Linked DNA regions of Struthio camelus. The protein of the gene in region 1 purifies or fractionates together with the protein of each later gene. This does not show direct contact. Links are inferred from orthologs where the notes say so. Each region holds a gene or a part of one and is shown in the gene's direction. Other genes may lie near its edges.

What was found. The genes of interacting proteins can lie anywhere in the genome.
Region 2: the proteins of PLK1 (region 1) and NOS1AP purify together in Homo sapiens (affinity purification with mass spectrometry; 3 studies listed by BioGRID and IntAct, counting the BioPlex papers as one, with this or other methods). This does not show direct contact. The link is inferred for Struthio camelus from reciprocal best matches to the Homo sapiens genes PLK1 and NOS1AP.
Region 3: the proteins of PLK1 (region 1) and DBR1 purify together in Homo sapiens (affinity purification with mass spectrometry; 3 studies listed by BioGRID and IntAct, with this or other methods). This does not show direct contact. The link is inferred for Struthio camelus from reciprocal best matches to the Homo sapiens genes PLK1 and DBR1.

What each region holds. Positions count from the first base shown.
Region 1 is NC_090956.1:1,057,273-1,067,042, reverse strand, and holds the start of PLK1 (serine/threonine-protein kinase PLK1), read left to right. Parts: upstream 1-5,701; coding exon 5,702-6,085; intron 6,086-6,293; coding exon 6,294-6,462; intron 6,463-6,575; coding exon 6,576-6,720; intron 6,721-7,148; coding exon 7,149-7,242; intron 7,243-7,800; coding exon 7,801-8,020; intron 8,021-8,332; coding exon 8,333-8,491; intron 8,492-8,712; coding exon 8,713-8,790; intron 8,791-9,276; coding exon 9,277-9,431; intron 9,432-9,770. Other genes in the region: DCTN5 (dynactin subunit 5), read left to right, coding at 2,453-2,473. UniProt on the Homo sapiens protein: Serine/threonine-protein kinase that performs several important functions throughout M phase of the cell cycle, including the regulation of centrosome maturation and spindle assembly, the removal of cohesins from chromosome arms, the inactivation of anaphase-promoting complex/cyclosome (APC/C) inhibitors, and the regulation of mitotic exit and cytokinesis.
Region 2 is NC_090949.1:9,628,352-9,637,899, forward strand, and holds the start of NOS1AP (carboxyl-terminal PDZ ligand of neuronal nitric oxide synthase protein), read left to right. Parts: upstream 1-5,779; 5' UTR 5,780-5,788; intron 5,789-9,548. UniProt on the Homo sapiens protein: Adapter protein involved in neuronal nitric-oxide (NO) synthesis regulation via its association with nNOS/NOS1. The complex formed with NOS1 and synapsins is necessary for specific NO and synapsin functions at a presynaptic level.
Region 3 is NC_090950.1:5,484,645-5,494,609, reverse strand, and holds the start of DBR1 (lariat debranching enzyme), read left to right. Parts: upstream 1-6,196; 5' UTR 6,197-6,274; coding exon 6,275-6,471; intron 6,472-6,564; coding exon 6,565-6,689; intron 6,690-6,797; coding exon 6,798-6,878; intron 6,879-8,616; coding exon 8,617-8,702; intron 8,703-9,938; coding exon 9,939-9,965. UniProt on the Homo sapiens protein: Cleaves the 2'-5' phosphodiester linkage at the branch point of excised lariat intron RNA and converts them into linear molecules that can be subsequently degraded, thereby facilitating ribonucleotide turnover.

The sequences.
Region 1 (9,770 bases):
TGTTCTGGGCAGTTACTGTAGCTCATTAGAGCCAGTGCTTTCCTTCAGAAAAATATGTATTCATCTATGGGCCGGTGTGTTGAGGTGGATGACCTCTTCCTTTTTTCCCTGTGGACCGAGATTCTCTCCTATAGGAATGAGGTATCTTATCATCCTGTGATTGGTTTTAGCACTTTTGGCTGACAGATTGAAACCTATCTTACTCTGACTTGCCTGATAGGACACTTAGCTTTTAGCTCTTGAAGTAGGCACCAGTTGTGTGCTCTCACACCTCATGCAGGGTTAGGATTTTCATGTCTGATGCATGTTCTTTTTCCAGAACATCACAGACCTCAAAGAGCCAAAGGGCTTTGGAAAGAGGATTACCATTTCACTCTCAAAATTCAGTGCAGCAGAAGGTGGGGAATTAAAAGCCAAAACTGGAGGTGGGCGGGAGAATCCTGCGGTTGTCCCCATTTGTCACCCACTGTGTATATTTGCAGAAAGCTCTTCAGTGCTTTTTTTGCATTATAAAACTTAAGAATGGAGATTCAGACCTCTTGGAAAGAGTGAATGTTTCATTTTGCACATGTAATACAGCTGCAGTTATTCTTGTTGGGAGCAGCTGTGTGAAAGTTGAACACAGCTGATACTTTATGTACTTAGTACCAGACAAATGGCCAACAATGAATCTGCCTGCTCTGGTTTTGTTATATTAAAGCTTAGCATCAGCCCTTTGTAGTTTTTAAAACTGGGGCTCGCTCCTGCATGTTGTAGTGTACCAGCTAGGGGCCAGAATGCCTATTAGGTAGGTAGTAGGTATGCGACTGTGAGACGTGGCAGCCCTCATGCATTCAGCTCTTCTGTATAATGCAGAGTACTGATATACATTAATTAGCAGACAGCTATAAAAACACTAAAGTAACTACTGTTAATCAAATGTAAAACCAGTGTCTGGTTTGTTTGTATGTTTCCTGTACATAAATTAAAAGCCTCTTAAGTTATTCAAGTGACTCAAGGTTGTGACTTTTCAAATCAAACTGTTGAAAGTAGGGTGAGGTTTCTGTTGTGCTTGTGCACATGTATCACAGTCTCTTGTTCTGTGAATATTACCGGCATGTAGTGTCAGCGTGTTAAAAATTGAAGTACAGTGTGAAACAGCTTCTACTTTTCTGCTTCTGAGCTGATGACTTTTACCAACAAATGAAGCGATTCCAACATGGCTATTGTGTAGAGGCTCTGAAATACAGAATCTCTTTGCTGCTATTCTTGATACTGAAGTGAGAATCCTAAAGCCACCAGGGTGACTGTAAAATCCTCTCCGGCACTGAAACTTTACACACACCTATTCTGTACAGCAGCAGCTCCAATGATGTTGCTTCAAGCACTTGGAAATGGCCTGCTTTTTGGATCTAGCAGTCTCAGATGGTGTAACCCTTTGCGTCTGTGCAAAAAAGCAGGAGCTGGAGCCAGCTTCTCATGACCGCAAACACGGTTGCAGCAAGAAGATGCAATTCTGTGTTGAGGCTGTAACAACTAGGTTGCTACTCTTGAATTCTCCAATGGACCAATTAGGTCACGTCTGTTTCGAGAGAGGCAAAATGTTTTGCTAGAAGCCCAGCTTCAGTAGGATTGTTTTGTTGCCTAGTTCCATACAAGCTTGAAATAGCTGTTTAATGGCAGCTGTATTTGTGAAGCCCTCCTGAAGTGGGAGTGGAGACAAATGCAGAAGGGAACTGTGTGCTTTCTGTGATCTTGTGGAGGTTCAGAGGGTGACTTATATGTGAAAGGGCCAGGCTTGCTACTTTTTCTACCTGGGTGAAAAGTATGAAGCTGTAAGCGCTGCTGACACTTGTACTACAGGCAGCTTCCTAATTGACTTCAATTGCTAATATGACTAGCTCCTCCTGTCAAAAATCTTGACTGACCCTTGTAGAAGCCATTTGCTGTAAGGAGCAGTAGGAGGCTGCCTCAGTCACCACGCCTCACAGGCTTGGAGATTCTTGCAAGATTGTATGCATGTCAGATGTTTAGGCGTTTATACTGCCACTCATTCGTACTACTTTGCACTGTTAACTTGCTATCAGCTGTCTCTTGAAGTGTGTGAAGTAGCACTGTATTTGGTCAGGAAGGGCCTATATGTGCTGTGTTGCCATGGTGTCACTTCAAAGTTTTAACACTACATAGTACATTTCACTGGGATCGCTTGATTAACGACCACAGTTGGGCAGCATGAAGCTAGGCTGCTGGAGGAGGGGTGGAGGGAGGGCTGCTGAGTTAAGGGATATGCGTTTGAGAGAGGAAATGGGACTGCATCTGGAAAGGTCTCAGGAATGATGTACTTCCATCATCACTTGAACAGCACAGCTGTAGTGCAGTGAGGGATATGTAACTGTATAGCCACTTACACGTTTCTCAGCCTTGTCTTCCTTCTAGCAGGCTGATTAAAACCTGTTTTATTGTCTCTGTTAAGGTGGCCTCTGCCAGGGTCTAAAAACAAGTCACCACTGAAGATCTCAAATACTCAGCAATGTTAACATTCCTTAGATTTGGTCACTTTACCCTCCTGTCCTCTGAAGCATCACTCTGACCTGGGCTCATCTCTACACCTCTGCCAGCTCTCTGGAATGATGGAGTATCAGTAGGTTGCAGCATGCTTCTACAGCCCCTGGGAATTGTAGTTTTCTGATGTCAACATTCAGTTTAGTGAAGTGCAATGAAACGTGACTTCCAAGAGAGGGCTTTGCTGCACAGCCAAAGAGGAGCTGTAGGTGCGTGGGGAAGCATGATGCTCAAAGGGATGGGGAGGGCAATGTGAATGCCTTCTTTCAAGAATCTTTTGGCAAAAAGCAATCACTTCAAACAGTAAACCACTATGTTGCTTCATCAGTCCTGTATACTCCCCTTTGCTCTGACCAAGACTGGAGGGACATGCTATTTGTGTTGGTCACTCTTATGTGGGGCATTTAAAGTCCTCAGGAATGTAAAACTGGGGCTTCAGAACGCTTCTCTTTTACTCTGTGTCCACCGTCATCTGCTGGTGGTTGTAATACCTGCCTGCTACTAGAATCAGGGGTAACTGTACTCACTGTAACTGGCTGAGTGAGACCAGCCAGTGCAGCAAACACAATCTGTTTGGAATTTGGCTGGAACGTGCTCTGAGCCCACTCACCCTCCCCATTGCTGCACAGCATTGCTCCCACAGCCAAACTTCTGCCAACCTGCGGGACCACAAAACACCCGAGAGCCAGACCTTCCCACTGCATACTTACACTTACATGATGCTTTGAGTCAGTGCTCGGGGGGGAGATCCAGCTGCTCCTTTGTGTCCTCATCCTGGCTTCAGCGTATGACCATGCATGCCTGGAGGGAGAGAGCAGGCTCATGGCCTAAGGTGCTACAGCTGACCTGTTCTTGTGCCGTTCTTGGTTATTGTTCATTGGTGTTTTGTTCTGAGCCAGCAGGCAGCAAAATCAGATTAAGGGGTGAGTACATACACTAAAGTTATTTTTCTTAACAGATGGTGTTCTTAGATTACAGGAACAAGCTCTCCAGGCCCTAGTGCACATGTGGTCCATTGCTGCTATTTTCTTTCCTAAATAGTATCCCATGTGGTGACTGGGACGAGGAAGGTGAAAAAGTCATTAACAAGGTCAGGCACAATTTCACTCAGCTGTCAGAATCTCACCCCCACGGGACAGAGAGGGAAGGGAGAGGTGCCACAAGAGAAACTGAAAATGACAGCAGGAATATGTGAGACCACAGAATAAAAAATCAGCAGGATGACCAGGTTCTTGGAGAAATGCGGCCATATATGAACAAGCAATGTCTTGGCTTGGAGGAGTCTCAAAAATGTGCACGGAACGGAGCTGTCTAATTGCCATTTCTCTTTCACAGAAAAAACTAAGTACAAACTGTAACATGAATTTCCCTTCCAAAAAAATGCTTAAACTAAGTCTGCTAGAAGGACTTGACTGAAAAGCTGCTTACAGCCCACAGGACGGGGGGAAAAGGATTCAAACTAACGTCACCTTTGGCTGTTTCTCGTAAAAGTAACCCCCTCCAAATGCACTTAACAAAATACACTTGCATTCCTTACTGGGAGGACAGTTCTGCAACTGGTATCGTCTGTGTATTTGTGTCTATAATTTCTGTTTGACTTCCCAAATCCACAAATGATGGTATTGATTCAAACAACTATAGACGTGCATAACACTGCCTTGAGGAATTCTGAGTATTTCAATATTGTCCAATGCTGCCCCAGTCTTTGTGAGCTGGTTCTCAATTATATGTCATCCCCTTAGAACCTGCATGCTTGTACTTGTCCCCCTGTGCTTTCTTGAGCCCTTCTTGTACACACAAATAATAAACAGGTAAAAAAGAACTCTGCTGAAGGGTTGACTGCAGTGTCCTATCAATGCTATATCGGTGCTGTGCTGCCAGGAGGGTTTTGTGTGAGTTCAGGCTAATGAGAGCTTTTATCACACAGAAAAGCAATCAACATCTGAGTGGCAGTATTAAGCACTGTAAAAAAGTAAATGAAGTTTCCACGCTGTTGTGGGAGACGTTTAGACAACGGAAAGCTTCCATCTATAACTCAAAGATGGTTTCAGCCTCTGCTAAGGTGGATGGCAAACTGCCCTGTCTGGTTGACCTCAACAAGTCTGTTAGAGAGCTCTGCCAACAACTTGCCCTCTTTTCCCAGTTTTTCAGCTCAAAATGGGAGGTACCTCCACTCCCAGGGCGGACGGGGAGGCTGCGGCGCAGGCACCACGTCCCCTGCTCCGGTCTCGGCGCTGGTCCAGCGTCACGGCTGCCTGCCGGCCCTCGGCGTCCTGTGGGGAAGGGTGTCCGTGTGCCGGGGGGACGCGGGCCCTTGGGGAGCGCCTGATGTGACAACGCTGAACACACCAGGCGTCCGGAGCCCAGCGGCCTCCCCTGCCAGCACCGCTGGGGGCCAGCTCCGGAGCAGGGTCCCCGAGCAAACGGGAAGACAGCCGCCTCTCCCGCTCCATATTTCGGTGCTCCTCGCGCTGCTGCCCACGCGGTGACTGCGGTCTCGAGGGCGGCGGACGCTGCTGGGGCTGAATGCAGCGGTGCCGGGCTGCCCGTGGGGCCACCAACCCGGCGCTCCCCATCCCCGAGGTGGGGGAAGCCCCACCACCCCACAGCCCCACGTTGGCGTGTCGCCCCAGGGGGCCGAGCACATGCACCTTTGCGTCCTCGAAGGACGCCAGAAACCACGTGAGCTGCTCCAGACGGGGCAGGCGAGCCGAGTCCCACTAGGCGGCTCCCCCCAGCCGGCCCGGCCCAGGCTGCGCCGCGGTCACGCGTGGGACAGCGCCGCGCTGCGCCCCGCCCGGCCGCCAGGCGGCGCCCGCGCCCCCCGGGCCGCGCCGTGCCTGTCTCTTTAAACGCGGCGGGCGGGGGCGCGCTCCCATGGTGCGTCGCGGCGGGCGCTTGGATTTTAAATCCTCTCGACCAATGGGGAGCGCCCTGGCGCGCGTAACGCTCCGGCTCCGCGTTTGAAATTGTTACAGTGTTGCCGCGGCGGCCACAGCGCTCTGCGCCCGCCCGCACCGCACCGCAGGCTCTGCGCCCGCCCGCACCGACCCTCGCCGCAGCGGCTCCGCGCCCGCCCGCCCGCACCGGGGTTACCGCGCCGGCTCCGCGCCCCTCCGCTGCCCCTCGGCCCCGACCCCGGTCGCGCCCTCGCGGTCCGATGAGCGCGGCGGGCGGCAAGGCGGCGCGGCCGCCGGGGGCGGCGGAGCCGGGGCGGGCGGGCGGCGCGGCGGCGGCGGCGGGCGGCAAGGAGGTGCCGAAGGTGCTGGTGGACCCGCGGACCCGGCGCAGCTACGTGCGCGGGCGGTTCCTGGGCAAGGGCGGCTTCGCGCGCTGCTACGAGCTGGCCGAGGCCGAGAGCCGCGAGGTGTTCGCCGGCAAGGTGGTGCCCAAGTCGCTGCTGGTGAAGCCGCACCAGAAGGAGAAGATGTCCATGGAGATCGCCATCCACCGCAGCCTGGCGCACCGCCACGTCGTCGGCTTCCAGGGCTTCTTCGAGGACGCCGACTTCGTCTACGTGGTGCTGGAGCTCTGCCGCCGCCGGGTGAGGGGCTGGGAGGGCTCCGGGCCGGGCAGGGGGGTCTGAGGGGGGATCGTGCCCTGGGGCCGAGCAGGGGGGTCCGGGGGCTCTGGGGAATCGGGGCAGGGGGAGTCTGGGGGGGATCGTGTCCTGGAGCCAGGTGGAGGGGAGCTCTGGGGGGGCCGGGGAATCAGGGCAGCCCGGGGGCCGGCACACTGACGGCCTCCCGCAGTCGCTGCTGGAGCTGCACAAGCGGCGGAAGGCGCTGAGCGAGCCCGAGGTGCGCTACTACCTGCGCCAGACCATCCTGGGCTGCCAGTACCTCCACAGCCACCGCGTCATCCACCGCGACCTCAAGCTGGGCAACCTCTTCCTCAGCGATGAGATGGAGGTGAAGATTGGTAGGTGCCTGTGACGCAAGTGTCCCCTGCCACAGCAGGGACCCCGACCTCAGGGGGTCCCTGACAGTGTGGGGGCCTCTGGCTTATGTGCTCATCTTCCTCATGTCTCAAAGGTGACTTTGGCCTGGCCACCAAAGTGGAGTATGATGGAGAGCGCAAGAAGACCCTGTGTGGGACCCCCAACTACATTGCCCCAGAGGTGCTGGGCAAGAAGGGGCACAGCTTTGAGGTGGACATCTGGTCCATTGGCTGCATCATGTGAGTCAAAGCACCCCCCATGACTGGGCTGTCCTGTGCTCCAGGTCTCCTGGCGGTTTTGGTATAAGCTGAAGCTTTGGGCATGCTGTCTCCAGAGCACCCACCCTGGCTGAGCACTGCTGTTAGACCTGCTCGGCTAATATGCTCACATGGGGGCTGTCTTGAGGTATTTTTCCCAAAAGCCCTTATTCCTAACCAGAACTTTCTCCAGGGGTACAAAATCCCAACTCCCCCCCTCTGGGAGAAGGAGCTAGAAATAATACTTCTGCCTGCTGTACCAGCTCTTCCTGGCAGAGGGAACAAGGAAGTCATTGGGAAGTCACAGGAGGCACTTCAGGATGGGGCTGCTTCTGGACCAGGGGTGTTGTAGTCCCCCTGCAGGCTGCCTCATACAAAACTGACACACTTCTATGTCCTTAAACACACAGGTATACCCTGCTGGTAGGGAAACCACCTTTTGAAACCTCTTGTCTAAAGGAAACTTATATCCGAATTAAGAAGAATGAATATACCATCCCCAAGGTATGGCACTTCCTGTGGGTGGACTCAACCTTGCAGCAGGTTTTGGTTGCCTTCTGCAGCATTCTGCTTCTGACACTTAATGAGCTCTTGCAGAATGGTGAAACAGCTCTCCTTGCTGAGTGCTATGAAGGGGATATTTCAGTCTGTGGTAGAACAGACCTGTGGGGTCAGCTTCCTACTGAGGAGCCAGCAGCTCCTCCTTGACATATCAAAAATCTGAGCTGGGCAGCTGGCACATGGAGGAAAAGGCCATGGGGTAAACTAACTTGCTCAAGTCCAGCCACAGATGAGGTCTGGACCAGGTCCCCCTGCTCTATTCCACTGTTGGTTCAGTCTTGCTAGTCAGTTGACTTAAAGCTCTGAACTCTGCCAGGAGATTGTACAGGTGCTGGTGAGCTGTTCTGTTTCCCCAGGCTGGCGTCCTGTGTGCCTGCTGCAGCACAGGAGCTCTGCTTTGAGAAGAGCTGTCCCCATGTTGCACACCCTGTGCACGTTGCTCCTTTTGCACACTTTTCCTTGACTTTTCTTGTTTCTAACTCTGCCTCTGTTTTCTCCTAGCACATCAACCCTGTAGCTGCTAACCTCATCCAGAAGATGCTGAGGTCTGACCCTGCCACACGCCCAACTATCGATGAGTTGCTGAATGATGAATTTTTCACATCAGGATACATCCCTAACCGCTTGCCCACCAGTTGTCTCACCGTCGCACCTAGGTTTTCAATTGCTCCCAGTGGGCTTGAACTGAATGGGCGAAAGCCATTGACTGCACTCAACAAAGGTGAGCGCAAGCACCTGGGAGCCGAGGGCTGTGCGCTGCAGTGCTGGTTGAAAGCCTACCTGGCCTCTGGCAATATCCAGACCTTTGGTGGGGAATGTGATACTGCCTCACATCTTCATGACTCTCATGAAAAGCTGGAGTACACTGTGAATGGGAGGTCTCCTCCCTGCTTTGAGTCTGGGCTGTGTCAGCACTAGCTTTAGCTATATGGTGTGTAACATGTTTCTTACAGCTAGGGTTGAATGTAAAGCTGGTGCCTTTAGAAACCTACTTCCTGGTAATGCCTCCACACTCTTCTCTTTCTTGGCCCAGGACCAGACAGCCCTGCACTAGAGAGCTTGCCTGAAAAAGATGATGTAGCTGGGCTGCGGGAGCTGGGAGATGCTGTTGACTGTCACTTAGTGGACATGTTACAGCAGTTGACTGCAGTCAACTCAGCCAAGCCATCTGAGAGAGTGGCTGTGAGACAAGGTGAGCCTGGGGACAAACCCACAAGCACTGGCCTTCCTAGGTAACTTGCTTTTTTGTCATTCTACTGCTGTTCAAAGTGAGGGGCCAACTGATCTCCTTGGCTTCAAACTGGAAGGCAGAGAAGTGATGCAGTAGCTACTTGCCTGCCTTTTGGCCTTACTTGCTTACTGCCATGTGCAGGATGCCTTAAAACGTCTTCTAATAAACTGTTCTCTTGGCAGAAGAGGCTGAAGACCCAGCCTGCATTCCTATCTTCTGGGTTAGCAAATGGGTGGACTACTCAGATAAATATGGTCTAGGTAAGTAATAAAGGGACAGCACTTCAGCCTTTTCCAGTTTCTGAAGAAGCTGAGGGAAGTTGTGATTCAGGCATTGCATGTGTGAGATTCTTTAATCTGGCAGTCAAACATGTAGGTGTCTAAAACCACCAAGAACGTTATTGAATATGCAGTGAATCCAGAGCAGTGGTCACTGAACATCAGCTCATGCCACTACAGGCAGAAAACAGCTACATGCTTAAAGGGAATGTGGCCTCACTCTGCAGTGAGCAAATGGTACCCAGTACTATAGTTACTAAAACTTCCTTCTGTGGCAGGTGATGTGACAAGGGAGGGTGATAAATCCGGAGGAGGAAAAGTGCCACCCAGACCTCTGCAAAGCAGAGGAGCCCTAGATTTGGTGGGGTGTCTGTCAGCAATCCCTTACCTGACACAATTCTACCTTGTGTTTTGCGCAATCAGCAATCCTGTGTATTTGAAGGTCTAACAGACTCCCTTTTGGACTAGGTTATCAGCTGTGCGACAACAGTGTTGGAGTTCTCTTCAATGACTCCACTCGTCTCATTATGTACAATGACGGGGACAGCTTGCAGTACATTGAGCAAAACAGCACAGAGTCCTACTTCACTGTGAGATCCTATCCCTCTGCCTTGAACAAGAAGGTCAGTTCTGGGGTGGGTTCCAGGGGGAAGATCCATCTCTTGGGGCCACTTTCATCCTGCAGGCTTCCTCTTGGCTGGTATAACGTGGCCCAAAGGAGAGACACTAGCAACTCTTGCTGTTTCCAGTTGCTAGCTGAGGCTCACTTATGAGGAGCTTCAAAGAAATACGCACCCAAAGCATGGTATGCATGGTAAATGGTATGCATGTACCAGAGTGCTAAGCAGAGCGAGTCTCAAGCATTGCCAACTAGGTTAACTTTGCTGTCTGAGTATGGGAACTTGCACAAGTTCCTACAGTGACCCTTCAAGTCCTGAAAGACAGCAGGCAGCTGTGGGACT
Region 2 (9,548 bases), on another chromosome or scaffold:
CTCTTGTCCCGGCCTGACTTCGTCTGCCCTCTCTTCCGTCCCTCTGCAGGTGCGACGGCCGGCGTTCCCGGCGCGGCCTGAAGACGGCACAAGCGCACCGCAGCCGACGGGCATTTCTGTTCTTAATTCACTCTGTAGTAGGCTAGCACGTGAAAAGCAATAAGCAACCTGGGGATGGAGCTGGTGCGGAGAGGGGGGCCGCTCCTCCTCCGGATGGCCGGGGCGGCTCGGACGCGCCGTCGCGCGGGCAGCTCGGCCGACGTCACCGAAGGCCTTCGGGAGAGGAGCCCGCACCCTTCCAGCCACGGCCCAGCCCCGCTTCCGGCACCCGGCTCTCGTGGCGGGGCCCGCGCTTGTATTCTCCAGCCGTAATAAACCGAAAGACGCTTTCCCCGCCGCGCGGCGGCTGTGCTCTCCGTAACGGCGTCCCGCGGGACCCGCTCGCCGGCGGCGGGTCGCGCTGGGCAGGGCTGCCGGCGCGTCCTCCGTGCGGAGGGGCTCGGCTGGCGCCCGCGGCTCTGCCGGGGCTTGGAGCGGCCCGGGGAGGGCAGCGCTGCGCGGCAAGGTGCGAGAGGTCTCGCCAGCCCCCCCCCGCCGGCCGTCTTCCCCCGCTGGGGCCGGTTCGAGGCTCCGGGGGGCCGGGCCCGCGTCCCACCCCCGGCCGTGCCTTGGAGAGCCTCCAGCTCTTCCCCGTCTCCTCCGAGCTCCGGGAGGAGGCTTTGCAGCCCCGAGGTCAGGTGGGACCGTCTCATGTCGACTGTCACCTCGGTTGCTTCAGCTTTGACCAGTCACTTGAAAAGGCTCAGTGGGTGCGCGGCGGCGAGCTTCCTGCCGGGGCGAAGGCAGCGTTAGGAAGCGCCAGCCGCTCGCAGGCGCTGCCCTTTCCTGTTTGCGACCTCTCGCCCTGATGGGAAAAGACAGTTGGCAGACGTAAAAGGCGGCGGTGTGAGGGACCTTCCTAACGTGGTGTCTCAAGCACACCTTTTCCTAACCTGGACCTCCCAATTTACGCGTTCTGATGTGTTTCACAACGCGCGTTGGGTACTTTATCTCCCGTTTACGCACACGTTTCTTTAGGAGCTGCTCCACCTCTTACTGTGACGCTGGTCTTTGTAGGATTTGGCCCCAAACCCTCAGGGGTCAGAGGCACCTGACTAGCGCCAAAATCTGTGGTGTGACAAGTGTCTTAAAACCTCCCCTGTGCTTGATGCCAGCAGTCTCCGCACCCACAAAGCACACTTCAGCCTCACAAATTCAAACAGCCGGAGCTGCCTCGCCTGCCACCCGCTTAGCCTGACGAATGCTTGTGGCTGCAGAAAGGCAAATAAGGGCTATTTCTGTCCGGTCCCGGGTGAACCTCCCCGCCAGCGAGGTCTCTCAGGGCCCCATGCCTTCCCGCTCCCCCCACGCTGCCCCCAGAAGCCTTCCTGGGCGCGCTGGCGCGCAGGAGACGTGGTCCCCGGCGGCGCTGCGGGCTCTGCCCCTCCGCGCTGGGCGCCCAGTAAGCACAGCTGGCACCCAACGTGCTCTGCTCTGCAAACTGGGCTTCATAGCGAACGAGTGATGTAGTCCCAGAGGCCTTGAGCATGCCGATGAGGTAGTTTGCCCTTAATGTTAAAAATAATAGCGAGCGCAAGCCTCCTCATCCTCTGGGCTTGCGTAAGTGCATCCTATGGGGGAAAAAGATCCGTGAATTGGTCTCCTGGTTTTTCCAAACAAGGCTCCAAACCAAAACTTTTTAGACCAGCTTTCCAGGAGCAGATAATTGCAGGGGCAAGAGCCCAAACCAGCAGGGACTAGTGAGGAACCAGATAACGTTTTGGCAAAATCAAGTGCTGGCTGGGGAGAGGCTCAGGGCAATCCAGCTCTAAATAAAAGCACTTTTACTGGGTAGTGCCAGCACCTGGGGCAGGAGGTAGTGCGCCCTGCCTTCATCAGAGCATCATCAAAGCCCCTGTCAACAGGGCAAGGAAGCTGCAGCCTCCTGTGCTTTGGGCTCCGCCACCACATCCTCCTTCCGGCGCGAGCTGTGAGTGCTGCGCTAATGAAAGCAGCCTGCTTTCTTCCACAGGGCCCTGGAATGAATCTTAATGGGCTGTTTTATGATCATTTAGCCCCATCACACCGTGGTGAAGGCAGGTTTGACCTAGCTTAGCAATCTGCTGTGTTCTCCTGCCTGCTGTGACTGCTCCCTGCCCCGATACCAGGATGGAGGGGGACCCTGGCCCCACCATACCCACAGCTCCATGGGCTTCGTGGAAGGAAGTGCTATTTGCTTCCAAGTGGAAAATGTGGTCTCCCGGATGCTGGTGAGCCTGGGAAGGCTTCTGGTGGCAGTGCAGGGGGAGCGGGAAGACATGGCGCAGGATGATGGGGAATTGCCCTGAAAGGAATCTGCTGGCCATGTGCAAATGGTAGAGAAAACAACTGGATGAGACCTCAAGCAGCTTGCTGGGGTTGGGAAGCTGGGCCTGCCTGGGGCGGGCCTTGGACTAGAGTCCTCCAGAGCTGCTTTGCAGCCCAGGACTTTCTGTGGACCAGTGAAGGTACCTGACTGCTTCCTCTTCTTGCAGGTTTTGGTGCGATGCAGCTGTCTTGCAGCAGCTGTAACTGAGTCCTCCCTTGGTCTCTGGGGCTGGTCCTCTGTCCACGGGGCCCTGTGCTGTCGGTCAGCACCCCGCTGCTGAGCCTTTCCGTCGGCTCCTGGTGGGCTGTCGAGGCTGCAGCTTGTTTTGGGCGTTGCTGTATACTGGTGATGCAGGTGCAGTAGCTCGGGTTGGCCCTCCTTGCTCCCAGCACCCCGAGAGATGTAGGAACCGAGCTGTGCGAGGTCTGTGCAGCCACAGGAAACACACAACGAAGCTCAACCCAGGCTGCAGCTGCCTCGCCCCAGGCTCTGCCTGCGGGTGGGTGAAAACGGGAGATTCCTCAAACAGGCTCTGGGGACAAGCCTCTGGGTGTCGAGTCCCTCGCCCGCCCGTCAGCCTCTGGCTCTCCTCCTCCTCTCGCCGACCCGCAGCAGGCGCTCCCGCTGAGACGGCTGGCGCTGAGCCGCAGGGCTTGCTGTCGGGATACTCCCCTCCGCGTGCTTTGCTCGCCTGAGTAATGCTCTCAAGCCCGCTCCAGAGGGAAGAGTCCAGCCTCGATGCTGTGAGGTTGGGCAGTTCAGGCTTGGGTCACATCCGGACGGAGCCTCGGTCGAAGCAAATGCATGACAAATTGATTCAAAACTTGCTTCGGTTTTTGGAGAGGAAGAAGAAACAGCTGTATTGCACTTGGATAGGAAACCTGCGTCTGAGCCAGGCACTCTCCTCCGTGCTGCACCGACGCTGGGGGGACGGGGCGAGCCGCGGAGACGGGCTGTCAGCAGACATAATCTTTTCTCCATTAAACAGTAAATCTCGCCGGCCTGGAGCACGAGCCGTGCAGACAGGCGGCAGGGCGGCTTCCAGAGCCGCTCGTCCGCGATGCTCCCGGCTCTGGCGGGGCAGGTCGAGGCCCTGGGGTCTCCCAGGGCCCCCCACTGGGGAGGCCGGCGGAGACGGTCCCCGTCCTCCCAGCACTGCGGTGCCCCAGCTCTTCTTGGGGAGCAGCCGAGGGATGCCGGCTCAGCGCGCTCCGCCGGTTGCTCCCACAGCTCGTGGCCGAAAGGAGACCTTCGGGAGGAGACCAGCTCCCAGGGAATCCCCACGGGCATATTGCTGCCACCGCAGACCTGGGTCCGGGCCGTCCCCGAGGCACCTGTGCAGAGAGCAATGGGCATTGGATGGTTTCCAGCATGGTCATGCCTGGTGCGAAGGCCCCTGCTTTTTGGCAGCTTTAAACGCAGCAGTTGCTAACCCCAGAGGAAGGGGCTGTCCTTCCTTTGCCATTATTCGGAAGCTCGGGCTGAGATCAGTGAAGTTTGCAGCTCACTGAAAGTTGGTTGCTATAAACATTTCATCATTGTGACAAAAAAACAAACAAAACCACCCGTTGCACTGGCAGCTGAGTGTGGGTTAGCCCGAAAGCACTGGGCAGGGAAGCAGAAGAGGTTTTGGCAAAGGGCAAGAAACAGGAGGGGTTCCGAAACGGAACGGCTGCAGCCCCCCCGACTGTGTGGCTTTCTGCACAGCGGGATAAAGGTGCAAAGGACAGAAAGGTGGGGGGTACTCTCAGCCTGGCCAGTCCCCCAGGCAGCTGATTTATGCGGTGCATGGGTGTTTCTCCAGCCCGGGTGGGTGGGCTCTGTTTGGAAGCCGAATCCAAGCAGGAGGCAGGGAAGGCTGGTTGGGGCCATCCGGCCTGATCCTGCGCCTCCCGGTCTTGGCAGTGCCTGCTTTGGGTTAAAGTCCGCCCTGCCCGCGCCCAGGAGACGTGTCCCTCACCCGCAGCGGCCAAGGGCGACCGCTCACGCTGGAGGCCTTAAAGCAGTTTGCTGCTCTCGGCATCGCTCGTTAGGGCTGTTCTTAGCCAGAGGACGCGGAGGGGGGCGTACCCCGCGAGCGTGGCCAGCGGGAGAGGGCAGATGCTCGGGTCTGGGTTAAAGTAGGGTGGGACAACTGTGGGTCTGGTTCACGGCAGCCCCTTTGGGATGCTGGCTGCCCCACGGGAGCCTCTGCGGAGCCGCGTGCCACCACGCCTGCCCCACCAGCACCCTGGTCTGGCACCTCCTGCCGTTCCCTTGGGCATGTTTTTTTTTTTAAATTCTGCAAATAAAGCTGTGTCCCCTTTTCTGCCTGCCCTGATTTATGCTGTGGGGCCAGGCACCTGGGGTCCCACAGCAGCCCCCCCCCCCCCGGGGTTTATGCCGTGCTGTTGCATCTGTTCCCCGTCCCCTCTGGGAGATGGGGGTGAAGGGGGAGATGGAGAGGAGCTGTGCCGGGCGCCCAGGCCGCGAGCGAGCCGGGGAGGGTGCCGGCAGGGCCGGGGGAGCGTGGCACGCCGGGTGCACGGGCGCACAGGCTGCTGCTTGCCCAGGGCAGAGCATCTCCCGCTCGTTGCTGCATGCGGCTCTGGGCAGGACACACAGGAAGGAAGCGGACGGCAGATGCTCAGTCTTGGGAAGCGGGTCTGTAATTGGGTGGTACCCAGCTCACCACCACTTCTTTTTCTTTTTTAAATCTCTTATTTTTGAGGCTGATACGTGTCAAGCTCAAAGAACTCTGATATCTTGTGGGGAGAGCAGCCAGAAAGTGTCCACCCATCTCCTGACACTTGCCGCTTGGATAATTCTTGCTCAGATATCTGCCTGCTTATCTAGGCGGTGATAAGAGAGCCTGCAACTCATGTCAGGCAGGCAAGAGCTCTGCAAGCCCGCTCAGCCAGCCGGGACTTCCTGGCCCAGCTCTGCAAAGCCGTGCGGTGGGGGAAGCCCCGTCCGGACCACCAGCGGAAGCAGCTTTGCAGAGGTGACAGAGATGGAGTCAAATCTTGATCCTGATGGGTAATGAAATCCCCGGTAAATATTGATTCAGTGTCAGGGTGAGCAGCTGGGTGCAAAGAGCAATGTCAACTTGGTTATTCAAGTAAAAGGGTATAGGCGACGCTCCTGAGAGCGGGGAATTGCAAGGAGAATTTTTTTAAAAAAAAACCCTTCCCCATTCATTTGTCATATTCTAAGTGCAGACCCTGCTTCAGAGGGCCTGCAACCCCAAGGCATACACCTGCAGGAGCTGACCCTGAATTCGGCGCTGCGCCCACCCGCAGGCCTGTTGCAGACTCCTGTACTGCATGCGGAAAAACTTTGCCCTGGGGCATTTGTGGAGCGGTGCTGCTGCTGCTCTGCATATCCCAGCGGCCGGGCGGCACCAGCAAAGCTCCCGGCCGGTCAGGTCGGAGCGGAGAGCGGGAGCCGGTGGCGACCCCTCCGTGTCGGGATGCAAGCCTGGATCCTCCAAGCCTTCCCCACGGCCGGCAGGAGAGGCCCCGGCTTGGGGACGAGCCCGGTGGCACGACCGCCCTGCTACGAGCTGGTCTGTGCTTGTGGCCCCTCTCTGCCCCCGTGCTGTTTCCCGCTGGGATGTTAGCCCCGCTGCCTGCCAGGCCTTGTCTTTTCCCACTGAGATTAACCCAGCAGAGGGGCGATAGTGGATGTATCTGAAAGAGCCGGGAGGGCCTTGGGAAGGAGCTGGGAACGTTTGCAGCAGGAAACTGCAGCCTGCCTGGCAGAGGCGCGGATCTGATCGGCTCAGGGCGTGAAACGCTGCGGCCACCCAACTTCTCGCTCAGGCGAGCAGGAAAAAACAGCTGCGATGTTTGCTGGCGCAGGGAGGAGGCGAGCAGGCGCTCCCGCGGGACGAGCAGGCGGCGGGAGCGTGGGAAGAGGGGCCGCGGGAAGCGCTGATGCGTGCCCAGGCTGTGTCTCAGCTGAGCCTTCAGAGGCATAATCCTGGGGAAACAGAAAAAAAAAGAGCAAACGGGGCACTTTTCCCAGGAGGAGAGCTCACACCTCGCTCCAGGCAGGCAGGCGGCCGTGGGCTGGCCGAGGTGACATCAGGAAGCCCTGCTGCTGCTGGAGCGAGCGGCGCGGGGCGATAGCCACTATCACATACAATCTGCATGAGGCAATGGGATCCGGCCGTCACCTCTGGCCGTGGCCGGCAAACGGGCCGGCGCTGAGCCCTGCTGCTGGCAGGCGGCGGCGGGTTGCTATAGCGCGGGAGCAAACACAGCGCGCTTGGTCCCCGTGAGTCACCCCGGGCGGAAATGACCTGAGCTGACACGCCGCAAAGAAAACTGCTGCGGGCAACATCACGCGCCCACCGGCCCGGCCTTCTCCCCTCCGTTCCCAGGTTGGACAGCCCCTGGGGTGCCCTTTCCCCCCGGAAAAACCCCGTGCTTGCAAGCAGGGCTGCATCGGCGTCGGGGCGCCCGGCCGGGCTCCTCTGCATGCCGGGGCGCTCCGGAGCTGCGTGCTTTCGGAGGCGAGAGGAAACCACCGCCTTCCCGTCGGCTTCTCGGACCTTGGGAAAAACGGCTCGTGCTGTCACCAGAGCGGATAAGCTGGGCCTCGCGGGCAGCAGGCTGGGGCCGCGCGCCCGCTCGGCTGCCTGCTGGCACCCTGCGCGCTGGCCGGGGAGGAGGAGGAGGAGGAGGAGGAGGAGGAGGAGGAGGAGAGCCGTGCGGGCGACGGAGCGGCGACGTGCAGCGGCAGCGCAGGGACGCGCGGCCCCGGGGAGGAGGCCCAGACAGAGGAATGCGCGTGGGGACAGGGATGGCTTTGGGAAGGGTTTATTGAGTGGTCAAGCAAACAGAGGAAATTGGCCCCAGCTGAAGGGCCTCCTGCCTGGGGGCTGCTGCAGCGGAGACGGGGGACTAGGCAAGCGATGCGTCATGGACGGACCAGACGGGGCCTGATACCGGCGCGGTGCACAAAGCCGACGCGGGAAGCCAAAGACAGCAAAGGAAAATGTGACTCCAACAAGGCTCTGGGCCGCAGAGGAGCCCTTCAAAGCAGGTTGGGACCCAGAGGGGGAGTGCCCAGGGCAGGAACCACATGCAGATGCCGAACCCGTTAGGAAGGACAGCGAAGCGGTGGGCAGATATTGCTGAGCTAGAGCTGGATCAACTCTCCCCGGGATGAGAAAATACTTTCCAGGCCATTAGGAGCTAAGGAGGATGTGAGACAACAGCTGCTAGAGAAGATATTTAACCCCCCCCCCCCCCCCCCCCGTAAGCCTGGCTAGCTGAGACCCAGGAGCCCTTTCAGGGCTGTCTGGAGCAGAATCGGCAGGTCTGGGGGAGCGCTAACGCCACGCCGATAGGCGAGCGGGGAAGCGCTGCCAGGCCAAGGGCTGGGAGGGCCTGGGAGGCAGCAACCCAGGGGGCAAGAGTGCACACGCGGTGCATGTTAGCGAGCGGGGTTTTGTGGGGCGTCCGGTTGGACAAAAGCGGTTTCTCTCCTCGTTGCGAGCAACGGTTTGGCTGACAGAGGCAATTCCGTGGCTGGGAGGAATTTGACGTGTTGTTCATGGTGTTCAGACGTTAAAAAAAGAAGAAGGCGGGGGGGGGGGAAGCAGCATTATGCTGGATCCATGTTAAATAATGGGTTCTGAAGGGGGGGAACCGGCCATGAAACCGTCGGGACCCCACGGGAAGAAAATCCGCGGGACCGCAGCCGGCGTGCAGCGGTTTTGGCCTCTCGGCGCGCCGCCTGGCTCGGCTCGGGGGACTTGCCGAGAGGGGCCAGAAGTGGGATCTCCGGCCTGAGGCAGGAGCGCGGGAAGGGCTCGGTAACGGAAAGCTCAGCGAAGGTAAGGAGCCGGGGAGAAAGGTGGCTCCTTCCAGCCTCCGCTCTGCTCCCCGAGAGGGAAAGGCTGCACCCGGGCCCGGCTCCGCGCCGCTTGGGATTGCCCGTGTGCCAACCAGGAAACAGGCTTACATTTTTCTCCTGACACTCAAGGGCCTGGGAAACTCAGCAAATCGCTACTGACGTGACGCGAAGCTTCGCAGTGCGCTGGGAAAGCTGGTTTGTGCGTTGCAAACCTGGATTCAAAGGCATCCGGGGCCGCACCAAATTAGTAACTCAGTCCCCAAGATCACAGACAGCCGCGCTCTTCTGGATTTAAAAAACAAAACCAAACAAAAAAAAAAACCCAAAAAACCCCCAAACCCACCTCCGTGGTGGAACAAGCCCATGTGAGGCGCGAGGCTGGCTGGCCTCCTGCGCCGGCTGCTCGGCGCGGCGCCGCGGCCCGCTGCCTGGGCTGAGCCCCTCCGGGCCGGGGCTGGGGGGACGGCGGCGTTATCGCCCGTGTTCGGCAGGAGCAGTGGGGCACGGCGATCCGGGGGGCAGAGGCGCCGCCAGGCTGGCGCTGAGCCCGCGCTGGGTGGTACTGGTCCTGCTGGCCCTGCGCTGGGCCATACTGGGCTGCGCTGGGCTGCACTGGGCCATACTGGGCTGCACTGGGCCAGCCTGCGCTGGGTTGTGCTGGGCCATACTGGGCTGCACTGGGCTGCACTGAGCTGTACTGGGCCATACTGGCTGCACTGGGCTGCACTGAGCTGCACTGGGCCATACTGGGCCATACTGGGCTGCATTGGGCTGCACTGGACCATACTGGGCTGTGCTGGGCTGCATTGAGCTGTACTGGGCCATACTGGCTGCACTGGGCCATACTGGGCTGCACTGGGTTGCACTGAGCTGCACTGGGCCATACTGGGCCATATTGGGCTGCACTGGACCATACTGGGCTGCACTGGGCTGCACTGAGCTGCACTGGGCCGTACTGGGCCATACTGGGCTGCACTGGGCTGCACTGGGCCATACTGTGCTGTGCTGGGTTGCACTGAGCTGTACTGGGCTGCATTGGGCCATACTGTGCTGGGCTGCACTGGGCTGTACCAGCTGCACTGGGCTGCACTGGACCATACTGTGCTGTGCTGGGCTGCACTGAGCTGTACTGGGCCATACTGGCTGCACTGGACCATACTGGGCTGCACTGGGCCCTACTGAGCTGCACTGGGCCATACTGGGCCATACTGGGCTGCACTGGGCTGCACTGGACCATACTGGGCTGTGCTGGGCCTCACTGGGCTGCACTGGGCCCTACTGTGCTGCACTGGAC
Region 3 (9,965 bases), on another chromosome or scaffold:
TTTAAACATAAGTGGATTAAAATGACAAGTGATACACACACAAAGCAGAAATCCTCACAAGTGTAACGTCTCCTATATGTTCCTAATTTCAGTCAAGAGTAATCCGCTCATATTCATAGCCATAAATATAAATGAATATTCCAAAAAATGAAGTCATCTTTAACATGCTTGTTGTTAACATGTGACCTCATATATTGCTTACTGCATCCTATTCATACACTATTCTAAAACTAGAATTATTAGTTTCACCTTTACTACAGCATTTACATTGCCTCTTAAAGTCTAAGTTATTTCCACAACTTTCCATCAGCAAGGGGATGTTACCCTCACTTTACATGTCAAGAGGTGTGGCAAAGAAAAGAACAGAATATCTCAATTTTTGGTGCCTATTTTGAAATGCCTGAGGCCTGACTTTTTGAAGTATGTGACGTTACACAACGGGTTATATGCTCAAAGCACAGCTCCTGCTCACTTCCCTTCCAGTTGTTAGTCAGAAATTCTGCAAATCTGATCGAGGGGACCTAAGCAGTCGTGAAAATACAACAGTGGAAAGTCTGGTGGAAGAGGCTTGCCTAGCAACACACAGGAACCTGTTTCTGTAAGACCGGACTTAACTGCCTTAATTATGAATGAGAAGATTCCTTCACTCCCACAGTCCCACTTCACTGGCCAAATTCTGACAGAACTGAAGCACAGTTCTAAGCTCTTATTCCAGAAAAAAAGTTCAATCCTGTGTAACAGGAGAAAACCCAGCCTCATGGGGGAAGAGCAGCATACAATAATTAAAGTAAAGACAGTGTTGTAAAACTTTGTACACAAGGAAGTGAATTAAGACTGCACAGCAACCTCTGTACTGTGCCAAGATATCATAGATGCCGAGTTATCGGTTCTGTGCAATTTGCAGGGGAGAGGGAAGAGGAGAAAGAGGGCAACTGCGGGAAGGATGGGGAACGGTCCTTACATAACTTTGGAGAAAAAACAAATTGCACTGCGCAGCATCTATTTACACCGCTGGGGCTACCGACAGTGTTAGACCACAGGGCTCCACTACACAGACCTCTGAACTGTCTGAGCAACACTACTCATCACCCGCTCCTCCGCAGGCTGTAGCAGAGGGAGATGAAACAGATGCTTTACCAGAGAAGCTCTCACGTATTTATTGGTCATGCGTCAGTCAACTTGCACTCAAGGCACCCTAGCCATAGCTACCTTTAATGCTGCACCTTTGTACAAACGACAAGTACAACATAGTATCACGCATGACAGCGGTTACAGAGGTCTAGGCAATGGAAACAGACTCTCGGTATAAAATCATAAAGCTAAAGCTCCCTGATGGCAACGTGAAACGTAGATTATCTGAACTTACATGCAATGTTAATAGCTTGTATTCAGGTACATTTAAAAAAAAAAAAAAAAGAACAAATACAGTGTCTCTCGATGCAGCTCCTCAGAATCCAGCAGGCACCAAAAGTTTTTTACAAAACTGAGAGAAGTCTAACAGTACTGACAAACTCCTCAAAGCTCTCCAATAACTTTTCTTTCTCTCTACCTAAACTGTGAGAACAGACCTACCACGTTTGAGAGAATCACAGGGAATGGCCAAGAGAGGAGGAGGCTATTTTACATAAATGACTGGAAAACTTATTTCCTGAAGCAGGCATCAGATCGTACAAGGCAAAGCCATGAGACCACCACCAAAGGCAGCACCTCAGCAGCAGACAGCTTGGGGACTACCTGCCTCGTCTCTTTAGATCTTCCCTTTGCTCCACTAGCCTGCTGTTACAGGAAAGACGGTGGCATAAAACAGCACCTCTTCCAGGGCTTCCTCCTTCAGTACGAAGAACAGAGGTAGCAAAATTAGTCCTGGGCCTAAAAAATATTTACATTACTCGATACCAGTACAGTCTGTGATGACCTTCAGAGGGACTTGCTCCAGTAAAACACGTCCTTCAGTAAGTTATTCCATCAGCTATTCAACCTCGGTTTTACAAGCTTACGCCCACCTTAATCTTGGGTTTGCCTGCCAGCGAAACAAGGAGATCGCCTAGCCAAAGCTGTTCCCTCTCTTGCTTGGGAATTTACGTTCCCTGGCTACCTAGGAAACACTTCCTAAAGAAGTATCCTACCTTCGCGACAAGGTAGGAGCAGCTGCATGGAGCAAGGCCAAAGGTTTCCGGCTCCCCCCGGGGCCCGGGGTTGGCGTTCACCGAAAGGATAACGAACGCGAGACAAGCGCGGGGTGAGCCTTGCCCAGCGTCAAGCCTCCCGTTTCACGGCAGCCAACGGAGCAGGGCCACCCCGACCCCCGAGACCGCCGCCCTCCGAGGCTGCGACCGCCCCCCGGCCCGTCACACGCTCCCGCAGCGGCCCCCGGGTCTCTCCTCACAGCTCAAAGGCGGGCGGCGGGGAGGGGGAGGCAGGGCCGTGCCGCAACCGCCGCTCCGGAGCCGCCGCCGCCGCGGGGCCCTGTCAGCGCCGCCGCCGCCCGCCCGGCACCTGCCCCCGCGGGCCTCCCCCCCTCCCCAAAACGGCCCCGAGCGCCGCCGCGGGGTAGCGCCACACCTACCCGCGGGGGCAGCGCCCCGTCGTGCCATGCCGCCGCCGCCGCTCCCGCCGCCGGCCGCGCACTGCCGCCCGCCCCGGCCGGCCGGCCGGCCCCTTCCGCGCCGCGCCGCACCGCGCCCCGCCCCGCCGAGCGCGGCGGCGGCGGCGCTCAGCTCGAGGCCCGGCTCGGAGCGGAGCGGGAGGCCACGGCCGCCGCGATGGCGCTGCCCGCGGTGTGGGGAAGGGTGGGAGGTGTGAGGGGAAGGGGGGGGGGGAAGGACCCCGCGCGCGCCCGCCGCGCGTGCCCGCCCCGCCCCCCACCCGCGCCGGCCGCCGCGCCCCGCCCCAACGGCCGCGCCCCGCCCCAACGGCCGCGCCCCGCCCTAACGGCCGCGCCCCCTCGGCTCTGAGGCGACCGCGGCGTGAGGCGGCGGCCGGCCAGGTCCGGCTTCAGCCCCGAGGCGTCCTGGGGACAAGCAATGCTGGCGGGTCCTTGACCGTGTTCTGGGCTGCAGCCGGGCTCGGCGGGGTTGTGGTTCACCGCACGGCGTCTCTGGAGGGGGGGAAGGGTGGTTTTTGTTTTTCCTCAGCCGCTCGTGAAGTTCGGCGGGTAGGTTGCCTCGCTTGTTGGCTTTGGCAGGTTTGCAGCCCTCTTGGGCGTTAAGGCCGTTAGCGTCCTCCAGCAAAACAGCGTGATGGGCGCCTCCAGGAAAAGGTAAAAAGTGAGAGGGAGGACAGCCAAAGTGCAATGGGAGGGGGAAGGCGGCTGCCAGACCACTGTAGCTAGGCCTGGAGCGGGCCTTACATTGACAGAGCATGTTTTGTTGCATTGCAGGTTGTTTTTTTGTGCTGCAATTATCAGACGTGAAACTGAGGGAGAAGGTGCCCAGAGGCACAAAAACATCGAGTTGCAGGTGAGTCTTGTGATTCAAGCTCTCAGCTGGACGCATTTGATTTGTCCTTCACACCTCACTTACAAACACACCTCCTTCACAAACTTTCCACCACTTCTCCCTTATACCTCTCTTCTCAGCTACTCCATCTCTCCCCAAAAGTTAGCTACAGATGTTTCCCACTGGCTCTCTTCTGCTGCTCCTCCTCATTTTAGCATCTCCTTGGGAGCCAGGAAGCACTTGGCAGGAAAAGTCACCAAAAGCTTCTCTCATTCCATTTTCAGAGGTGAGGGAAGCAACCCAGTCGTCCTCAGCCAGGATGCCTTTCATTCTTCATTCCCCTGGAGAGAAAAACTGAACTACTTCCACGGCTATACATTATCGCAGTCAGATCAGGAAAAAAACCTTACTGATTGGACTGGGCAGGCAACAGCCAAAAGGCCAAATACCTCCCACCAGAACAATCCACTGATCCAAGCCTGTTTCTTGAGACTCTCCCTCCCTTCATGGCCTCACGATTGTTTCCCCTGTCACGAAGGACAGGATGTGCGTTCAATCACTTCAGAGAAGTGCAGGTCCCCTGTTGTAGGACTGCGCATCCAGTCACATGCACAGACGTGCACAAGCACATCAGAGCAAGGGACTGGGGACCACAGAGCCCAATTAATGACCAAACGTGCGTTAGTCACGCGCTGGAAGACAGCTGCACGTCGGTCATATCACAGACCACAGCTGCCTCCACGGGGGCTTAGCGATCTGACTGCTGTGGAAAGTTCAGAGCAGATTTTCAGAGCTCAGTGAACACCCACAGTTAAATTAGGGATATGAAGACACATAATGAATAGCGTACAAATATTAAAATGCTACAACATAAAGAAAACATACAGCCTCACCTGTGCACCAGTAGGGATAAGTGGCACATGGGGTGTGCGAAACAAGCCCAGGATTTACAATTACAGTACAAGCATACCTTACCTGACTCTGGGGACAAAGCTGGCTGGGGGGGGGAGCAGTACGGCTGTCTCAGGAAGGAAAAAGTGAAGTCCTGGCCAGCTGGAAGAAGCAGAGCAAGGAGGCAGCTGCTGGCAGTCTTGGAAAGCCACCGAAGATGGCCAGAAGGTAGGATGGGATCTTCTAGAGACTCATGGGCCTCTGTTTTCCATCCCCACCCCTCCAGGAAGTCTGAGGCAAGGCAGATGCCAGGGACAGCTACACTTTCCCACAGACGGTAGAAGACCTTCCCAAGAGATGATTTGGCAAACTGAATTCTCACAGTATGCTCAGGTATGTCTCAGCAAAGTTAGTGGAAGAGCTGACTATTTCTAAGAATACTTCTGTGTGCATTTCTACTCTGAAGACCTGTGGGGATCTAAAGGCAGGGGAACTTTTCCCTTGACTTCAGCTGGTCTTGGATGAAAGCCCCAAGAAATACACAGTAATCCAACATGGTGAAATTATGAAATACGTTACAGAATACTCATATTTTCTTAGTATCAAAAGAGAAGCCGTTATGTAATACTTGCTACTGTAGGGGAACGGGAATGTCTGCTTAGTTCATGATTACAGGGTAAGTAGTAGCAAGTTAATGTTTAACTATGTTGTTGTAATTTTGTTCCATCCCTCAAGACTCTTAAAAAAAAACAGTGGAAAAAGTCTGGAGTGGTTTTATTACATGACACGCAAATACCACCCTATGATCCAATTTGCAGCCCTTCAAAATGAGGAAATTGGTGCTTTGCAAAGCAGGGCGTCTGACATTCTGTAAGTTAAAGGACAGAGGTCCGGTTTCCCCATGTCCCATATGCCGTTGTACTGGAAAAGCCACGGTCTGTTTCTGTCCTTGCTTTTTAGGAAGGTATGAGAAACAAATGCTTGAATATGCTAAAAATATGCTTGTTTGACGCTGAACTGGTGGGACAAAAGTATTACTGTAGGGCTGATGTGTCCTTTGCAAACCCATAGCCACTCTTTTATTGGCATGAGTATCATACAAAAGCATGCACAGCTACTACTCTTTCTGTACTACAACTGCTCCACTGTGGCTTAGTTTGCAGTCTTTGTGCCACACAATGAGAAACAAGTAAAGCTTCTGCAGCTTCCTGGCTGAGGCCGCGAAGCTTGCGGAAGAGGCAAAGCCAGTACTGCACTAGCTCTGGCTGTGCCCACGGAGACACGCACCTTAACGGTCTCTGCGGTGTACAGGGAGCGCGTAGAATCCCCTTACGCAGTTTACATACCCTCTGCTGGGCCCCGCTGCACAAGACATCAAAACTTCATAGAACTCTACTGCCTATTTGGAGATAGGCCTTTTTTTATTGGGGACCAGTGTGCTAGCTGCTGTACAAACACTGGGTGAAAAGATAATCCCTTTACCAAAGGGCCCAACGTTACACCCAGTTATCGGGACGCATGCTTGCAGTTGCATTTCTCAGTTTTTCCTCGCTTATTCATTGCCCTCTCGAAGGTTTCCCTCCCTGGAGGACCACCGCGTACGGCACGAGACATCCCCGCTGCAACGGCGTGCCCCGCTAGCAGCACGGTCGCTTTCAGCGCTGCGGCTCGTCCCCTCAGGCGCTCGGCGCAGCCGGGATGTGCGGCTGTGACTGCACGCGCGAGCTGTGCCCAGGCCCACGGGCAGCCGGCGCGCGAAGCCCGCGCCGCCGCCCGCAGCCGCCCCGCCGCACCGCGCAGCCCCGGGCCGCCGCCCGCCCCGCTGGCGCGCGCGCCCCGCCCCCGCGGCCCGCAGCGCGCCTGCGCGGGCTCGGCGCCGCAGGGCGGGCGGGCGCGCGGTGACGCGGAAGGCGCGCGCGGCGCCTGCGCACGGTGGAGCGGCCGCCATGAAGGTGGCGGTGGCTGGCTGCTGCCATGGCGCCCTGGACAAGATGTACGAGACGTTGGAGCTGCTGCAGCGGCGGCACAACGTGCGACCCGACCTGCTGCTCTGCTGCGGCGACTTCCAGGCCGTGCGCAACGAGGCGGACCTGCGCTGCATGGCCGTGCCCGCCAAGTACCGCCACATGCAGACCTTCCACCGGTGAGTGCCGCCGCGCCCGGCCCGGCCCGGCCCGGCCCCGCCCCGCTGCACCTGGCCCGGCCCGCCCGCTCCAGCGGTGTCCTCTCCCCGCAGGTACTACTCCGGCGAGAGGAAGGCCCCGGTGCTCACCATCTTCATCGGCGGCAACCATGAGGCGTCCAACCACCTGCAGGAGCTGCCGTACGGCGGGTGGGTGGCGCCCAACATCTACTACCTCGGTAGGGCTCGGCTGCCTGCTCCTGCCGTGCTGGCCGCGGGCGCCCCTGCCCCTGGCCCGGGCCCCGGCTGGCCCCCGTCGTGACGAGCTACCCTCCCGTCTCCCCTAGGTTACGCAGGTGTGGTGCGGTTCCGCGGTGTGAGGATCGGCGGCATCTCGGGCATCTTCAAGTCTCACGACTACCGGAAAGGTACAGTGGGGAGGCCGTGGTGGAGTGGCCCGGCGCACGAGCGGCCACAGAAGCAGCTCCCAGCCGCGGCAGGAGGCTCTGGCTCACCCCCCTCATAACTTGGGAACTGACTTCTGACACTGGAAGCCTCCCTTGGCTTTACATGTGGATTTCTGTGGCTTTCTGGAGGTGGGCGGTACTATGGTAGCTGCCTGCTGACCATGTTAGGAAGCAAACGCTCCCTTTGAGTGTTATGGTTGGGACAGTCTTGATTCTTCCTTGGCAGGGCCCTTTTAGCATCTAATGTAAGACTTCTTGGTTTTTCTTGTGTAAAACAGGCAATTTATAAGTGGGATATCATACAAATGTGCTGTCCTGAGCTGAGGCTTAGTGTCAGATTGTTTCCTCCAGATATGTGTATGTGCATTCAAGAGCCCTCCCTTGAAGGGTCTCCCTGGGTGGTCAGAGATCCGATCACAAATGTTAGGTGCTGTCAGCAAATGGTAGAAGATGATTAGTCTTTCTGATCCCCTTGACACATGGGATAACGGTTTCTTATTTGTAATTACTGTACTGTGAATGCTGTCTTTCATAAGATACTGCTTCAGAGAAGCTTTGCAGGTGGCTTTCATGCTGCAAAGTAATAAACTACTCTTCTGAGACAGTTGATGATTCTGTTTAATATATTAATGCTAATTAAATGTCATTGTCGAGCAGACAGCTTGCTTACCTGAATATTGCTCATGGGATATTAGGCTCTTTCGTAATAGTGCTAGCTACTAAAAATGTAATCCTGCTGTTCATCCTTCAGACTATGTTGGAGCTCTGCCGGATACTTATTTTTCTTGTAGACTAGATTCCCCTTGGTAAGGGAACATTTTTGCCTTTCCAGAGTCTGCGGTACCTGGGACAGTACCAGACGTGACACTCTAAGCTGCTGCTGAATCTGGCAAGCTGTGCTTTCATAGTTGGTTCTTGAAGAAACACATGAAATCATAGCATCAGTGGCCTGAGTCTGGGAGTCAGATCTGATGCAGTGCCTCATGACCTTTTTAGCTTACACCTCTTTTCAATAAACTCTTGTGACCTATGTTCTGCCTATTGACCCCTCCTATAGAGAGGTGCACTGTCCCTTCTCTAAGGTAATGCCAGTCTTTTTCTTGTTCATCATATGTTCTTTGGCTGTGCCAGTATCATGGGATGTGTGGCCATGGGAACTGGCTCAAGTAATAGCTATCTATGTCGCGTGGCTATGCAGTGAACAGCTCTCCACATACGCGATGGCATGTGGCTATGCTGGCGTAACTGTGAAGGTAAGGGCTGTGGTGAAGTAATGGGAGGTGTTATCTCACCTGAGTGGTACAAAGCCTCATTCAGGAATAAAGCACTCGAGTCTTTCTACTGAAGTTACTTGTTTCAGACAGTTCCTGAGTTTTAAGCGTTGGAGTCAAACTCCTAGCTTCCAGTTGTGGAAACAAGATTACTGTATTCTCTACATTTGGAAAAGTAAGAGAGCGACTGGAAGAAGTGTACATTGTTGTGGACACATTTTTAGAATATACTTGCTGCGTGCATGAAAGGAGTTAGCAGACTGTTGGTGTAAGCCTTCTGTAGAGGAAATGCAGCATCTCCTTCAGTGACTAGGAGCCTTGTGTTTGACGTTGCTCTAGATGTCTGTATGACCCCAAGAGGTTAGCTTGCAAACAGTGTTAGGAGGCAATTGTTGATGCAGGCAAGTATTCTTTCTTCTATGTTTCAGGCCACTTTGAGTGTCCACCTTACAACCAGCAAACAATAAGAAGTGCTTACCACGTGAGGAATATTGAAGTCTTCAAACTCAAGCAGGTTAGTGAAAATTTTAACAAAAGTAAAAAATGATTTTCATTAATTGAGAAATAGATATTAAAGCTATTCTGAACAGTATACTATTATATAGCTGAGACTCTTCTGCAACATTATATAATGTTGACAGACCCATTTATGCTGGCTGTGATTCTGCAGTTGTTCCTGCTACGTGTCTGCTCCACTGTTTTGCTTAGCAGTACAAATCTGATTCGAATCGGGCACAGGCGGCATGTGTGCGTTTTTTTTGTTGTTTTAACCTATTAAAAAACAAATCTCACAGTGTGGGAGGTGCTTCAGCTACATGCATTTGTTCTAGGTTTATGTTAGGTGTAGGAAGATGGGTGCTACCTTGTCTAACTTAAAGCCTGGTTGGTACAAAGTTAACTAGTCAAAATATGCAGAAGTTGAACCAGTAGAGTGAGCTGATGCCAAATTCCTGTGGTTAAAGCATTTTTGACCCAGGGCTAGCAGCCCAAAGGCCAGATTAACTTTACTATTGAGCCATGGACTACTCCCTGCTTTGTCACAAGGGATCACACTGTTTGTCCGAGATTGTGGTGTGAATGCATGCTTTTATAAGCATCTTGTGAATGATTCTTCAGGTTGCAGTTGTGCACTTACCTGTTCAGTAGATGCAAGGATAAAGGTTTGCTCTTCCTGTGAAGGATATGATGCGTTTTTCTGTGAGTTTCATACTAGCTGGACTCAGGTTTCTGCTAGAGGTGTGGTCTGATACAACTGATGAAAATATGCTGAATATTGAACCAAGATGTACTTGTTTCATTGAGACTGGTGCTTCCTTTGAGGAGGAGTATCACACACAGCCATTATCCCTTTTAAACAAAGCTCTTAAATTTTGTGGGGAAGATGACGACTTTGGTGTGGCAAGAACTTTCTCCACAGCTGTAATTTCAAGCGTTTATTCTGAGTGTCTGACACGTATAGAGATGTTCTGGTATCTCTTATAAGGCAGTATATATAAAGCACAGCTTGCTGTCTTGAGAAAGTGTAGCGCAGACTGTGGGGACTGGAGTCCTTTGATAACTTCAAAGGCCACCTGGAAGATTGTGCTTACTGGTGTAACTTCATTGCTTTAAAAAGTGAGGCTGTAAGTCACAGTTAGCTATCTGATCTGAGATAGAACACCTGCTGTTACACAAGTGGTATTTTGTGCTGTGTAAATTTGAAACTTGTTCTAAATATGTGTTTTACTTATATGCATTTTTGGCTTGATAGTTAAAACGTCCAATGGATATATTTATG